Sus scrofa: one gene and its partners. The protein of the gene in region 3 interacts with the protein of the main gene of each other region in a biochemical or structural test. Links are inferred from orthologs where the notes say so. Each region holds a gene or a part of one and is shown on either strand. Other genes may lie near its edges. The genes, in order: CLNS1A, COPRS, PRMT5 and RIOK1.

Region 1 (3,568 bases), on a different chromosome or scaffold from region 3:
AAAAGAACAGTAGGCGCCTCAAGCAACAGGACTCTAAACCAAGCTAGTGACTGCATTCTGCCCTGGGGAGGCAAAGGGAAACATTCTCAGATAAACAAAGTACCGTTCTGGGTAAAAGAAACTACACGGGCAATGAGTGTTTGATGGCACAGGTTAAAGATGTTCCAAGTGGTGGAGGCGGAGGTTTCTTTTCTGGGAGTGGCGGCATAAACTTAAAAGCCCCTCCCGACTACCCATTTTCCTATCTATCATCTTCCTTCCATTTTCTTCCTCCAATTCCCTCTATTTTTTGTCCTCAAGCTTCGGAATCCCATAAAACTTTGCGACTTGGCTTAGACGTGAATTGTACCATTCACTTTTATTTAAAACCATACCATGTGGATATCTGGAGATAAAGAACTACAATCCCACATCCTTACACAAACGGATGCTTAAAATGAAACACACACAGAAACGCTCTTATAAAATCCTTGCTACTAACCATGTGCTTCCACGTCATATTCTTCTCCGTCGTAATCATCTGAATCTTCATCCTCGGGATCTGGATGCAAAGCCTGGCATTCGCACATTGCAGTGAACATTGCCTCCACTGGACAAGGAATTAAAATGTTGTCATTAATTTTCTCCCTCATCAATGTGTAATAAAAATTTAACAAAATAACCATCAGTGCAAATAAATTTAATGAGTAGACAAGAGGTACACGAGGATCACAACATTTACACAATCTGCCAAGTTCTAAGACGAACCAATCTTGTAAAGTATTTGATAAGAGATAAGTCACAAAATAATAAGAGTTCATTTTGAAATATTATTGAGATCTCTTCATGCATGGTTGGATTTTCTGAGTAAAAGCATCAGTGTCTTAGTCAGACCACTGGCACCAGAGTAAAGCCCAGCAAGCAGGCAGGGCTCTTTTTTTTTTTTTTTTTTTTTTTGGCTTTTTAGGGCATACGGAAGTTTCCAGGCTAGGGGGCGAATTGGAGGTGCAGCTGCAGGCCTACGCCACAGCCACAGCCACGCGAGATTCAAGCCACATCTGTGATCTACACCACAGTTCACGGCAATGCCGGACACCTAACCCACTGAGAGAGGTCAGGGATCAAACCCACTTCCTCATGGATACTAATCGGATTCATTTCTGCTGTGCCACGACAGGAACTCCCAGGCAGGGCTCTTTTCAGCTTTCCAGGCATCTTTCATTTTAGAATTGCCAGGAGTCCTCTGTCCTTTTCCAGTAAAATTCGCAGACAACAGCACCAAGTCCATGAAAATAACTAGATTTCTTCATTCGCAAAACACACCTGAGCCTGCCATACTCTCATTTCATTCATAATCTTATTATATTAATAAGTATCTGGTCCTCAGTGATATTCCATATGCTAAAATGAAGAAAAAACAATAGAACAGAGCTAATAAAGGTAAAGGAGTATGTGTGGATATGGATGGAAGGAATGCTTGGTATTTAAAGGGAAAAGAATCAATTCCAAATAACACTCACATGCTGATTTATCACTAGGCACAAATCTAAACTCAGCAATAGGTTCAATATCATCATCACTGTCTTCCTCTTCTTCATCAGCAACAGATTCTTTCAATTCTTCTAGAAAGGAAATAAAAAATAGCTTTTTAATGATGTTGTTTATTTGTTTTTAAAAACAGAGGCCTAAGCAAATTCCTAAAAGCATGCTTATTGACATATCAAAATATTGCATTTTTTTCCTTCAAATTATAGGAACATAGTTATTTTGAAGCTAAAAAAGACTCTGGAGAGTTTCTCTGGTCTAATTACATTGTACTTGAGTAAGTCCGAAGGATTCCAAGCCCCATCAAGGTCATGGTGGGAGGCAAGGAAACCCAAACACTCAGGCTTCTAACAAGCAGATTCCACTGTCATGTCTACTTCTCCTTTCACCTTGAGACAAGGACCCAAGAACAGTTTGTAAACTACTAATGTGATTCACCATCAACAATTTACAGGTAAGAAAAGGAAGGTCAGAGTTCACTTGTGGTGCAGCGAGTTAAGGATCCAGCGCTATCATGGCAGCAGCTTGGGTTGCTGCTGTGGCACAGGTTCAAACAATGGCCTATTTCCACATGCTGTGGGTGTAGCCAAAAAATAAAACAAAAAAAAACAAAAAAAAAATTGGAGAAAAAAAAAAAAAAAAAGTGGGGCGTTCCCGTCATGGCTCAGTGGTTAACGAATCCGACTAGGAACCATGAGGTTTTGGGTTCGATCCCTGGCCTTGCTCAGTGGATTAAGGATCCGGCCTTGCCGTGAGTTGTGGCGTAGGCTGCAGACGTGGCTCAGATCCCTGGTTGCTGTGGCTCTGGCGTAGGCCGGTGGCTACAGCTCCGATTAGATCCCTAACCTGGGAACCTCCATATGCCTCGGATGCGGTCCTAGAAAAGACAAAAAAAAAAAAAGTGGGAGCTCCCATCATGGTGCAGTGGAAACGAATCCGACTAGCATCCATGAAGATACAGGTTTGATCCTTGGCTTGCTCCATGGGTTAGGCCTCACTGTGCCCCCCCCCCCCCCCCCCCCCCCCCCCCCCCCCCCCCCCCCCCCCCCCCCCCCCCCCCCCCCCCCCCGCCTTGCTCAGTGGGTTAAGGACCCGGCACTGCTGTGAGCTGTGGTATAGGTCGAAGACAAGGCTTGGATCCCACATTACTTGGATCCTGCAGACAAGGTGTAGGTCAGTGCCTACAGCTCCGATTCAACCCCTAGCCTGGGAACCTCCATATGCCAAGGGAGCAGCCCAAGAAATGGCAAAAAGACCAAAAAAAAAAAAAAAAAAAAAAAGAGAGAGAAAGAAAGAAACATAAATACACAAAAGTACAGAATTCTAAGTACAAGTATATAGAAAATAAAAGGCGGTGTCCAAATTATTTTACTGTGCTGAAATTTTGCTTAAGAACATATTATCCAAAATAAGTCAATGGTTTGAATATTACATTGATTGTGATCAAAGAATATTTTTTGACATATAATAGGCTACCAGAGGAAGCTTAAGATTAAATCATGCCATACATACCTCCAAATTTGGCATTCACCATAACATACAAATGCTCTCGAGGATAGGCATTTAGGTCCCTGGATACTGCATGCAAACTAATGGTGGGGTATTCCAGTGAGAATCCTAATCCAGAGCCATCTAACCAAGACAGGCGGCTGAAAAACATGTTTTAAGTAGATTATTTTAAGAACTTAAATCCTTATTTAATATCCTTACATTTATAAAGGTTCAGCTTGGACACTTCTACAAATGAATAAAATGCAAAGCATATTGTTTACAAATATTCGCAAAATGAGAAAATTCAGTAGTAGGAATTGAATTTAAGACCAGTTCTGTTACAGTCTGTTTTCCTCTAGCTAAATATTCAAACAGATTCGAAATGCAATTTAAGTCACGTGTGTTTCTATGCCTTTTTACACGTGTTCTCAGTTGGAATGTCTTCAGGCACCTTCTTTGCTTTTGCAAAGGCTCTTCATCTGAGTAAGTCCGAGCCTCTCCATGAGTCCTCCCTATAATTACTCCAGTTCATAATATCTTTTCTTTTTCTAAA
Region 2 (2,227 bases), on a different chromosome or scaffold from region 3:
GTTCCCATTGTGCCTCCGTGGAAATGAATCTGACTAGTATCCATGAGGATGCAGGTTCAATTCCTGGCCTCGATCCGTGGGTTAAGGATCTGGCGTTGCTGTGAGCTATGGTATAGGTCACAGATGCGGCTTGGATCTGGGGTTGTGGCGGCTGTGGCATAGGCTGGCAGCTACAGCTCCCATTCGACCCCCTAGCCTGGGAACCTCCATATGCCACAGGTGCAGCCCTAAAAAAAAAGAAAGTACACCTTTGGTCAGAAGTATCTAATTTAGGAGTTCCCGTTGTGGCGCAGTGCTTAACGAATCCGACTAGGAACCATGAGGTTGTGGGTTCGGTCCCTGGCCTTGCTCAGTGGGTTAAGGATCCGGCGTTGCCGTGAGCTGTGGTGTAGGTTGCAGACGCGGCTCGGATCCCGCATTGCTGTGGCTCTGGCGTAGGCTAGTGGCTACAATTCCGATTAGACCCCTAGCCCGGGAACCTCCATATGCCGCGGGAGCGGCCCAAAGAAATAGCAAAAAAAAAAAAAGTATCTAATTTAAAAGGAGGAGAAAAAAGTAGACAAAAGCGTATTGATCATTTCCTACCTTTATTTATAAAGTTTTCTACTCCTCTCCCAACAGAGACGTACACACACATACCTGGGAGAAGCTCATTAAAAACAACAACAACAACAACAGAACAGGGGGCGGCAGACCTTACTTAACACCAGTCTGTGTGCCCAGCTTGGGGATCACTGGGAATGTCTCCTCGGATGTGACATCTCACCTCAAAAGAAGGAGACCTTGACCTGGAAGGCCCGCCCGCCCACCAGGCCAGGGCGGCACCCTCAGTCTTCGGCATCATCAAACTGTCCCGTTTCAAAGACCATCTTGGAATAATGGGGTATCAGTGGAGGCGGGTGGTGCCAACTGGGGTCATAGATCATGTCTCCTTGTGGGGCACAGCACACCCAAGGTCTGACCTCTTGAGAAAGGCAACCCTGGATGTCGTCGGCATCTGTGGGCAGTTTTAAAAGCCAGATTAAAGGAAAGGAGGGAGGGTGAAAAGGGAGAGCCCAAAATGTCTAGGGGACAGACGCCCACACTTTCTTTGCTTAAACACACACTGCATGAACACACACACGTACACACACGCCAACACACACAGAGTCCTTTGCTGAAGACCGGTAAGCACCTTCATTCTGAGGCCACCCACAAGCCCGCTTCTCAGACACGGGTCTTAGCAGCGCAGAGGAAGCAACTGGTGACCACAGCACTTCTGTCTGCAGCTGCCTGATTCATGCAAAGGTATCTGGAGAGTAACGCAGTTTTGACATTAAAACTAACCAATACACTAAGTAATCAAATGCAAACCTGCCCTTTTTTTCCAATTATTTCATGTGAAAGAGAAGCTGTCACAGAAATCTCAGACCTGTTACAGCTCTCGGGCTAATAAGCTCCTAGATGTGTCCCTCTTCCAGACTGGCTGCCTTTAGGGGGCTCATCTCGTAGGAGGGTCTCGGAACCCTGGCCTAGGAACCCCAGGAGCCCCACACCTACCATATGGATTCCCTTGATCTGCTTTCAACTCCAAGTCCCAGTCCTCGTTAAAAAGGTCGGCAGCCTGCTCCTTGGGTGGACAGCCGGACACCCCTTCTGACAGCTCCCATGTATTCAGGTCCCCATCAGAGTCCTCATCATCCACAGCAAAGCCTTCCTCTTCAGAATGGATGCTCTCACCACGGGCAGGACTATCGTTAGGGATGCTCTGGGCTCCAGTGGCTAAGAAATCCACAAGAGGAAAAAGGACTTAAAACAACAGGCAAGCCAGAGAGGGCCGAGTCGTGTGCTTGGGAGATTTTGGCCGGACTTACTAAGAGGACACCAGTAAATAGTGTTCAGAGCTCTTTAGCCACCAGAGACCTTATTTAAAAATTATTGTCCTGTTTCCCTTTTTTTTTTTCTGCCACACCTACAGCAAGCAGAAGTTCCCAGGCCAGCAACTGAACCTGCTGCACAGCAGTGACAATGCTGGATCCATAACCACTAGACCACGAGGGAACTCCCTGTTACTTTTTTTTTTTTTTTTTTTGGCTTTTTAGGGCTTCACCCACAGCATGTGTAAGTTCCCAGGCCAGGGGTTGAATGGGAGCTTCAGATGCCGGCCTACAGCACAGCCAGAGCAACACCATATCCAAGCTGTGTCTGCAACCTACACCACAGCTCACAGCGATGCCGGATTCTTAAC
Region 3 (4,237 bases):
TTCTGACTTTCATCCTTTTGGGGCGCTTACAATGTATTCCCTTATAGCTTAGCCTATCCACACACATTCCGTGTTTCTCAGGACTCTGTCGTCCACTGCGGCGATCTCATTCGGTCTCCTGGCTTCAGTCACTATCTCTCTTCTGGCGATTTGCAAATCTTGTCTGGTTCAGATCACTGTTCATACAACTCTCTATTACACAGCGCCCCCTAGACGTCCAAGTCAGCATTTCCAAACCCCAGCCTCGATTCTCCCTAAACCAGCTTTTATCATTTGTCTCGCTCAAAGAGGCCAGAACTCTGGGCATCACCCCCAGACTTCCCTTTCTCAGACTCCCTGTCAGTCGGTCTCTAAATTCTGTCAAGGCCTCCTGCCTAGGGCCTTTTGTATTGATTCTCTTTTCCGTTCCCCGCTGCCAAGTCCGCAACACCTCTGGGCTTCCTGCCTTCAGGTATTTCTCCTGCCTAGATCTTTTTTTGCTTCATTCCTTTCCTTCTTTTCCATCCCTCTAGCAAGCATGGAAAAGAAAAATGTAGAGACTCTTTCCTGTCTCTGCCAGTCAATTCATAACTTCTCTCCACTGTAATCTCTCACCATGAATTCCTTTATCTTCAGTGGTGTGTGTGTTTCAGTGTTTGCTTTTTGTATTTGAGATACCGAATCACAAGGAATTTGTGGCTGAATTGCCACAATCTGTTTAAAAATATACTAAGGCCCATTCAAAATCCATTTTAAGAGCACCAGCCATTAACTCAGTTTTCTTGGTGCATTTGGATGCACCAAGGCAGGGACACAAGAACCATCTTTGAACTAGGTATTATTAAACGCTGGCATGAAATAGTTGCAGAATGCAATAACATTAAGACCTGAAAATGAGAGCGAGAGAGGACAGCGAAGAAATTTTAAAAGGGGGCATTAAAGCATTGCAGGGGATGCACCAAAAGCGTTAGCCCCACCGAGCCAGCCAGGAGTCGAACCTGGAATCTTCTGATCCGTAGTCAGACGCGTTATCCATTGCGCCACTGGCCCTGAGACGACTTCTTCGTTCTCAATGATGACACTTCAAGCTTATACTGCAGGGTTTCATGGGACGTGTAGTCTCTTACCGGAATTTTACCAGTACATGAAGCATTATGGGAGATCGAAGTTTGTCGAGAACCAGACCCTGAGATTGGTGACTCTTCCGGAGCCGTGCCCTACGTCACTGTGCAGCCTGCGGATTGGCAGGAAGAGCCACTTCCCACCCCTCCTCCACTTGCTCGGGACCCTGGGAGACGCTTTGGTTGTCAGGGAGACTCGTCCCGCCTTCCGGGGGCTTTTTTTCGGCTTTGTGATTGGCTGCCAGTGTCAGGGAATCTCGGCGTGGACTGCGCGAGGGAAAAGATGGCGGCGATGGCGGTCGGCGGTGCCGGTGGAAGCCGCGTGTCCAGCGGGAGGGACCTGAATTGCGTCCCCGAAATAGCTGACACACTGGGGGCTGTGGCCAAGCAGGGGTGAGGGCCTGGACTTCCGCGAACAGAATGCGGGGTCGGAACTCGGGGACTGAGAGGGGCAGACCAGTCATCCCTGGGAAGCAGGGGTGAGGGGGTCGGAGTGGATAAGATTAGGGTGGGAGAAACCGCTAGTCCATGTAGGGAGAAGCCTCCGGCCCTGGAGCGTAAGAGAAAGAGAAAGAAAGACATATTGGGAACGTGTGGTCCCTGAACCCCAAAGTCGAGAGAGTTATCAGGTAAACTCAAAAAGAGGGCGTACGACCTCAAGGGCCCTGGAGAGCGAGGTGCGAGGTTCTTGTCTCAGAGTGGGAGGAAGTGTTATGGGGCTAGGGAGAGGAGAGATGAACCTTGAGGGCTGAAGCCTGGGTAGTACTGGAGCAGATCTGGATATGACAGTCTTGGAAAATCAGTGACAACAGAGTAGAAAGTCCACGTGGCGTGGATTTTCATCTTTTCTCTTTTCTCATCTTTTCCATGGCTCTGTTCTGGGAAGAAATTGAGGCACAACGCAGTGGAAGTGATATTCCCTAAAATGGGCCGAATTCAGCAGCCCATTCGAGTGACTGACTAATGGCAGCTGAAAGGGTTGTGCAGAATGGAGATAGCCTAGTCCAATTGCTTGGATCGCTGGGCACTGCTACTCTCTTTACATGACGATTCTGGGTCTGTCGTGGTTGTAGGTTTGATTTCCTCTGCATGCCTGTCTTCCACCCGCGTTTCAAGAGGGAGTTCACTCAGGAACCTGCTAAGAATCGGCCGGGTCCCCAGACACGATCAGACCTACTGCTGTCAGGAAGGGGTAGGGACCATCCCACATGCCCCTTAATTATTAGAGGCAGTAACAACTTATGTTTTATCAGTGCCTTCTTCCTCTTCCTTTCTTGACCTGGATGTATTTGTTCAACCCTGGGATATGGATAACTCTTGTTCTCTCCTTGCTTACTGCTCAAAGCCTTAGTTTCCTATTCTGCATCAGGCTTTCCTGTATCTGTGATAGAAAAAGCCTTTTGTCTCTCATCTCTACTATTCCCTGTTAAGAAATAGAAATTGAATGCATAAAGTGCTGAACCTCACTCAGTCTTTGTCTTTCTTGGGTTGGGGAGTGCAGACTGGAATACACTAATTGTGGGCAAGCTTTCCCCATGGATTCGTCCAGACTCAAAAGTGGAGAAGATCCGCAGGAACTCTGAGGCGGTAAGACTGACATCTTCACCGAATCTTTCTAAAGATCAGATCTGTAAACAACCTGGATGGGGAGAACAGATTTTTCCCCTCCATAACTTAGTAAATCTGATGTAATGCACTTAAAGCTGTTTGAGGAGTTCCCCTTGTGGCTTAGTGGTTAATGAATCAAACTAGCATCCAGTGGGGGAAAAAACTGTAACTGCAATGTATACATCTAAGGATGACCTGACCCCCTTGCTGTACAGTGGGAAAATAAAAAAAAAAAAAAAAAAAAAAAACTAGCATCCATGAGGATGAGGACAAGGGTTCAGTCCCTGGCCTTGCTCAGCGGGTTAAGGATCCGGCATTGCCGTGAGCTGTGGTGTAGGTTGCAGACATGGCTCAGGTCCTGAGTTGCTGTGGCTGTGGCGTAGGCCGGCGGCTTCAGCTCTGATTGGACCCCCAGCCTGGAAACCTCCATATGCCGTGGGTGCAGCCCTAAAGAGACAAAAAAAAAAAAAAAAAAAAGGTTGTTTGAGTTGCTAGCTCTTAACTTTGCCTCTTGTTCTCCATTCTAGGCTATGTTACAGGAGCTGAATTTTGGGGCCTATTTGGGTCTTCCAGCTTTCCTGCTGCCCCTAAATCAGGAAGATAACACAAACTTGGCAAGAGTTTTGACTAATCACATCCACACTGGCCACCACTCCTCCATGGTATGGCTGAGGGCCTCCTTTCCTGCTGCACATTATGGTAGTCAGGCTGTGCTAAATATCTTCTTTTCCTAGCCATTCAGTAAAGGGTGCATTAGGCAGAATTTAAATGTCAGTCCTGCCTACCCACAACTAAAAGTGGTAAGCAGAGACTTATAAAATACATAGCATATTCTATTATCTCCAGAAACTTATAATAAAGTAAAAGACAGGGCAGATACTTACATAAGGATGTACACGAGATACGTGTGCACATACATAAAATCACAATTGGGAAAAGCATGTAAGGGGATTAAGTTGAAATCTAGATCAAGATCTTTTTATTTATTTATGTTTAAGCTTTTTTTTTTGTCTTTTCAGGGCTGCACCTGTGGCACATGGAGGTTCCCAGGCTAGGAGTCAAATCAGAGCTGTAGCTGCCGGCCTACACCATAGCCACAGCAACGCCACATCTGAGCCGTGTCTGCGACCTACACCACAGCTCATGGCAACATCAGGTCCTTAACCCACTGAGGGAGGCCAGGGATCAAACCCACAATCTTAGCTCTTAGTGGTTCTTAGTCGGATTCGTTTCCCCTGTGCCATGACAGGAACTCCTGGATCAAGATCTTTTTAATTGAAAGAAGCTTCTGGACCCAATGAGTTCAAAATAGAGTTCTAAATAGGGCAGAGAGGTGTTTTCTTGTGGCGCAGTGGGTTAAGAATCTGGTGTTGTCGCTGTTGCGGCTTGGGTTATTGCTGTGGTGGGGTTTGATCCCCAGCCTGGACACTTCCACATGCCAAGGGCACGGCCAAAAATAAATTAATTAATTAATTAAGGTACAGAAGCTATTTATTGTTCATGTGCAGTTCTGGATGCGGGTGCCATTG
Region 4 (3,568 bases), about 71 Mb from region 3:
GTGTGGCCAAAAAGAAAAAATAAAATAAAATAAAAACAGCAAACAAGTGTTGGTGAGGATGTACAGATGCAGAGAATCTGGGATCCATGCAGCCTGTTGGTAAGAGTGCTAAATGGTGCAGCCGCTAAAGAGCATGGCAGTTCCTCAAAGGATTACAAGTAGATTTACCCCATGATCCCGCAATTCTACTTTGGAGCCTGTATTCAGAAGAACTGAAAGCAGGGTCGTGAAGAGGTACTTGTACACCCATGTTCAAGGTAGCATTATTCACAACGGCCAAAATGTGGAAGCCACCCACGTGTCCACCCACTGATGATGGGCACACCAAGGGTGGTACAAGGACACACTGGAACATTATGCAGCCCTCAAAAGGAAGGAAATCCTATCTCAGGCTACACCATGGAGGAACCTTGAGGACCCTGTGCTCAGTGAACTAAGTCGGCCAAAAAAAAGACAAATACTATCTGATCCCACTTATATGAAGTGCCCAGAGCAGGTGTCACACACACACAAAGTGAGGACCGGGCTGGGGAGCGTGGCGGGGGGGCCTTAACGGGGACAGTTTCTGTTTCACAAGAGGAAAAAAGTTTTGTGGATGGATGGTGGTGATATTTACACAGCAATGTACTTGAAGCCCCTGGATTGTACACGAAAAAACGGTTGCAAGGGTAAATTTTGTGCCCTGTATGTATATTTTACCACCGTTTTAAAAATTCTCTGACTACTTAGAAGGGCCTCTGAGAAACAAGGGAAAGGAATTAATAACCAAAAGCTAACAGGTTTCTTACTAAACATTCGCACATTTGACCGTCTATGTATCTTGCCTGTTTCGAGTTCAGAAACTTGGCTTATCACTGGCTTTTTACTATTGTTTGATCCCCGACCTGTAAGTCAGAAGGACACGGTCTCAGGAAGCTGTCACAACGAACAAGAGTTGTGCCGAGTCATGAGTCCCTCGGAGACGCCACACAAAGGCAATCACTCCTTTCTCCCCTTTGCCACCCGCCTCACCTTTGAGAGATAAGCATCCACGTTCTCATGTGTAATTGATGGATCGGTGACAAATTCAAAGAGCTCCCGCACGGTCATCACAGCCACCCCGTGCTTCAGAAAGAAATCTACAAGAGGAGACGTTCATGAGAGCTTTGCGAGGGAAAAGGTTGTTATTCTAGACCCCTTATGCACAAAGAGATAAAAGCACACCATCTCCCAGCAGATGGTGTAAGTATCACTGCACCAAACAATTCAGTGCAAACTTTTTTTTTTTTTTTTTTTGCTTTTGGTTTTTAGGGCTGCACCTGCAGCATATGGAATTTCCCAGGCTAGGGGTCCAATAAGAGCTACAGCTGCCAGCCTACACCACAGCCACAGCCATACCAGATCTGAGCCACGTCGAGTCTGTGACCTACACCACAGCTCACAGCTCAATGCTGGATCCGTAACCCACTGAGCAAGACCAGGGATTGAACCAGAAACCTCATGGTTCCCAGTCGGAGTCGTTTCCGCTGGGCCACGATGGGAACGCCCCAAACGATTCTAAATCAGTGCTAAAGAGAGTTCAGAGCCCCGTGCCGAGGCAAGCTGGCCGAGAAGCCCGCTCTCCACTCACCGTTGACGTTGGCACAGTCCTTTCTCAAGAACTCCAAGGCATGCGGGTGGTCGTGCTCCACGGACTGGGAAACGTCAATGACGTACACGCCTCCACCCTGGTACCTGCGGGTCAGGCGCCCAGCGCCGTGAGAAACAGCAGTGGGCTGCATGCCACCAAGAGGGCCGGGCACCCCGGCCTGGGCACACCACTGCTTGCCCCCACGTGTCTAAAAAATTCTCCATTTTAAGAGCAATGGAAACTCATAAGTGAACGAATAAAATGAACAGGGTGGGCAAGGAGAAGAGGCACTCTGACTAATGAGAGGTGAAACCTCATATGAAAAAGAAGACATGCACACACACACACACACACATGTAACTGAATCGCTTTGCTGTGCGGCACAAAGTCACACAACACCGGACACCCACTACATTTTCAATTTTAAAAAAAAAGAAGAAAAAAAGAAAGAAAATGTCCAAAGTCCTTTCACTCTGCTAATGATCAGGGTGCTGGATTCTGTGACGAAAGTCACCGAAGCCGAGGGACACATCCTGCCCTGTGACGGAGCGGGAGCCAATCTTAGAGCCGGAGAGCGGAATGTGACTTCCTGGGCTGGGACTTTGTCTGCTTCCCCCAAGGACGGGACAGGCCTCGGGGCAGGTCGGGGGACACACACTCACAGCAGGTTGAACTCGCTGAGATCCGCGTGCACAAGCCTGGCGTCCTGGTACATCCTCCTCATGTACTCGATCACCTGCACGTACAGCTCGCGAGCCTTGGATTCTGATAACGGAACATTTTTCAACAGTGGTGCTGGCCTGGAGCAGACGCAAGGTGAACGACTAAGACAAACGGACCCAGAACAAGTTTTCTTATTTGATAAAACGCTACGCCCATTTCTCTTCTATAGCTCATCACCGAACCACTTCTTTAACTATAAAAACACCATTCTAAAACGCTGTCGGAGTTCCCGTCGTGACTCGGTGGTTGACGAGTCTGACTGGGAACCATGAGGCTGCCGGTTCGATCCCTGGCCTTGCTCAGTGGGTTAAGGATCTGGCGTTGCCTTGAGCTGTGGTGTAGGTCGCAGACGCAGCTCAGTGTAGGCCGGCAGGAGAAGCTACGACTGGACCCCTAGCCTGGGAACCTCTATATGCCGCAGGTGCGGCCCTAAAGAAAAGACAGAAAGACAACACACAAATAAATAAAATAAAATAAAATAATAAAATGAAACGCCGTCAACAGGAGTTCCCGTTGTGGCTCAGTGGTAACGAACCCAACTAGCATCCATGAGGGTGTGGGTCTGACCCCTGGCCTCGCTCGGTGGGGTTAAGGATCTGCTGTTGCCCTGAGCTGCGCTGTAGGAGCTGCTAGGCCTTCCAATACTCACGTGTCGCCTCTTCCAATGAAACCCATGACCAGCACATGGCTTCTTAGCAGGACAGGTTCCGGGCATGGGATCTGTGCTGTGCTTAGCCTGTGAGAGCAAAGAACAAATGAAAAGCTAAGACAAACATTCTAAAACACCTCGTCGAAAACAGCTGGCAGCAGCTACAGCAGCCAAGACTACTACCTCCCTGAGGAGAGAGCACAGGGCCTCTCAACTCTATCCTTTTACTTCATAAACCCTAAGACACCGGTGATTTTAAGTGGCACCACCATGCAGCACCAAGAACAGCAAAACACTGCCAACTCAACCACAACACCCCACAGCTTCTAACACCCATTTCGATTCCAGAGCCATTAAACTGTGGAAAAAGTGGGCACCTTAGAACCGATGAAACACAGCAGACAACGTTTGCCATGATCTTTTCAGCTGATCAGTGTGAACAATAATTACTCAAAAGAGTGGACTCAGAGGTCCCTCGTAGCTCACGGGTTAAGGATCCGGCATTGTCACTGTAGTGGCTAGGGTTGCTGCTGCGGCATGGGTTCGATCCCTGTCCTGGGAACTTCTGCATGCCACGGTTGTGCCCC

The links.
Region 1: the proteins of PRMT5 (region 3) and CLNS1A form a complex in vitro, tested with the Homo sapiens proteins (5 studies listed by BioGRID and IntAct, with this or other methods). The link is inferred for Sus scrofa from reciprocal best matches to the Homo sapiens genes PRMT5 and CLNS1A.
Region 2: the proteins of PRMT5 (region 3) and COPRS form a complex in vitro, tested with the Homo sapiens proteins (3 studies listed by BioGRID, with this or other methods). The link is inferred for Sus scrofa from reciprocal best matches to the Homo sapiens genes PRMT5 and COPRS.
Region 4: the proteins of PRMT5 (region 3) and RIOK1 are reported together in a solved structure, tested with the Homo sapiens proteins (2 studies listed by BioGRID, with this or other methods). The link is inferred for Sus scrofa from reciprocal best matches to the Homo sapiens genes PRMT5 and RIOK1.

What each region holds. Positions count from the first base shown.
Region 1 is NC_010451.4:12,103,664-12,107,231, forward strand, and holds part of CLNS1A (methylosome subunit pICln), read right to left. Parts: intron 3,174-3,568; coding exon 3,037-3,173; intron 1,602-3,036; coding exon 1,500-1,601; intron 590-1,499; coding exon 482-589; intron 1-481. UniProt on the Homo sapiens protein: Involved in both the assembly of spliceosomal snRNPs and the methylation of Sm proteins.
Region 2 is NC_010454.4:43,096,340-43,098,566, reverse strand, and holds the end of COPRS (coordinator of PRMT5 and differentiation stimulator), read right to left. Parts: intron 1,762-2,227; coding exon 1,540-1,761; intron 998-1,539; coding exon 828-997; 3' UTR 569-827; downstream 1-568. UniProt on the Homo sapiens protein: Histone-binding protein required for histone H4 methyltransferase activity of PRMT5.
Region 3 is NC_010449.5:76,109,627-76,113,863, forward strand, and holds the start of PRMT5 (protein arginine N-methyltransferase 5), read left to right. Parts: upstream 1-1,378; 5' UTR 1,379-1,383; coding exon 1,384-1,493; exon of another isoform or gene 1,494-1,729; intron 1,730-2,173; coding exon 2,174-2,292; intron 2,293-2,601; coding exon 2,602-2,687; intron 2,688-3,235; coding exon 3,236-3,370; intron 3,371-4,216; coding exon 4,217-4,237. UniProt on the Homo sapiens protein: Arginine methyltransferase that can both catalyze the formation of omega-N monomethylarginine (MMA) and symmetrical dimethylarginine (sDMA), with a preference for the formation of MMA.
Region 4 is NC_010449.5:4,764,247-4,767,814, reverse strand, and holds part of RIOK1 (serine/threonine-protein kinase RIO1), read right to left. Parts: intron 3,069-3,568; coding exon 2,982-3,068; intron 2,410-2,981; coding exon 2,272-2,409; intron 1,714-2,271; coding exon 1,610-1,713; intron 1,119-1,609; coding exon 1,012-1,118; intron 1-1,011. UniProt on the Homo sapiens protein: Involved in the final steps of cytoplasmic maturation of the 40S ribosomal subunit. Involved in processing of 18S-E pre-rRNA to the mature 18S rRNA. Required for the recycling of NOB1 and PNO1 from the late 40S precursor.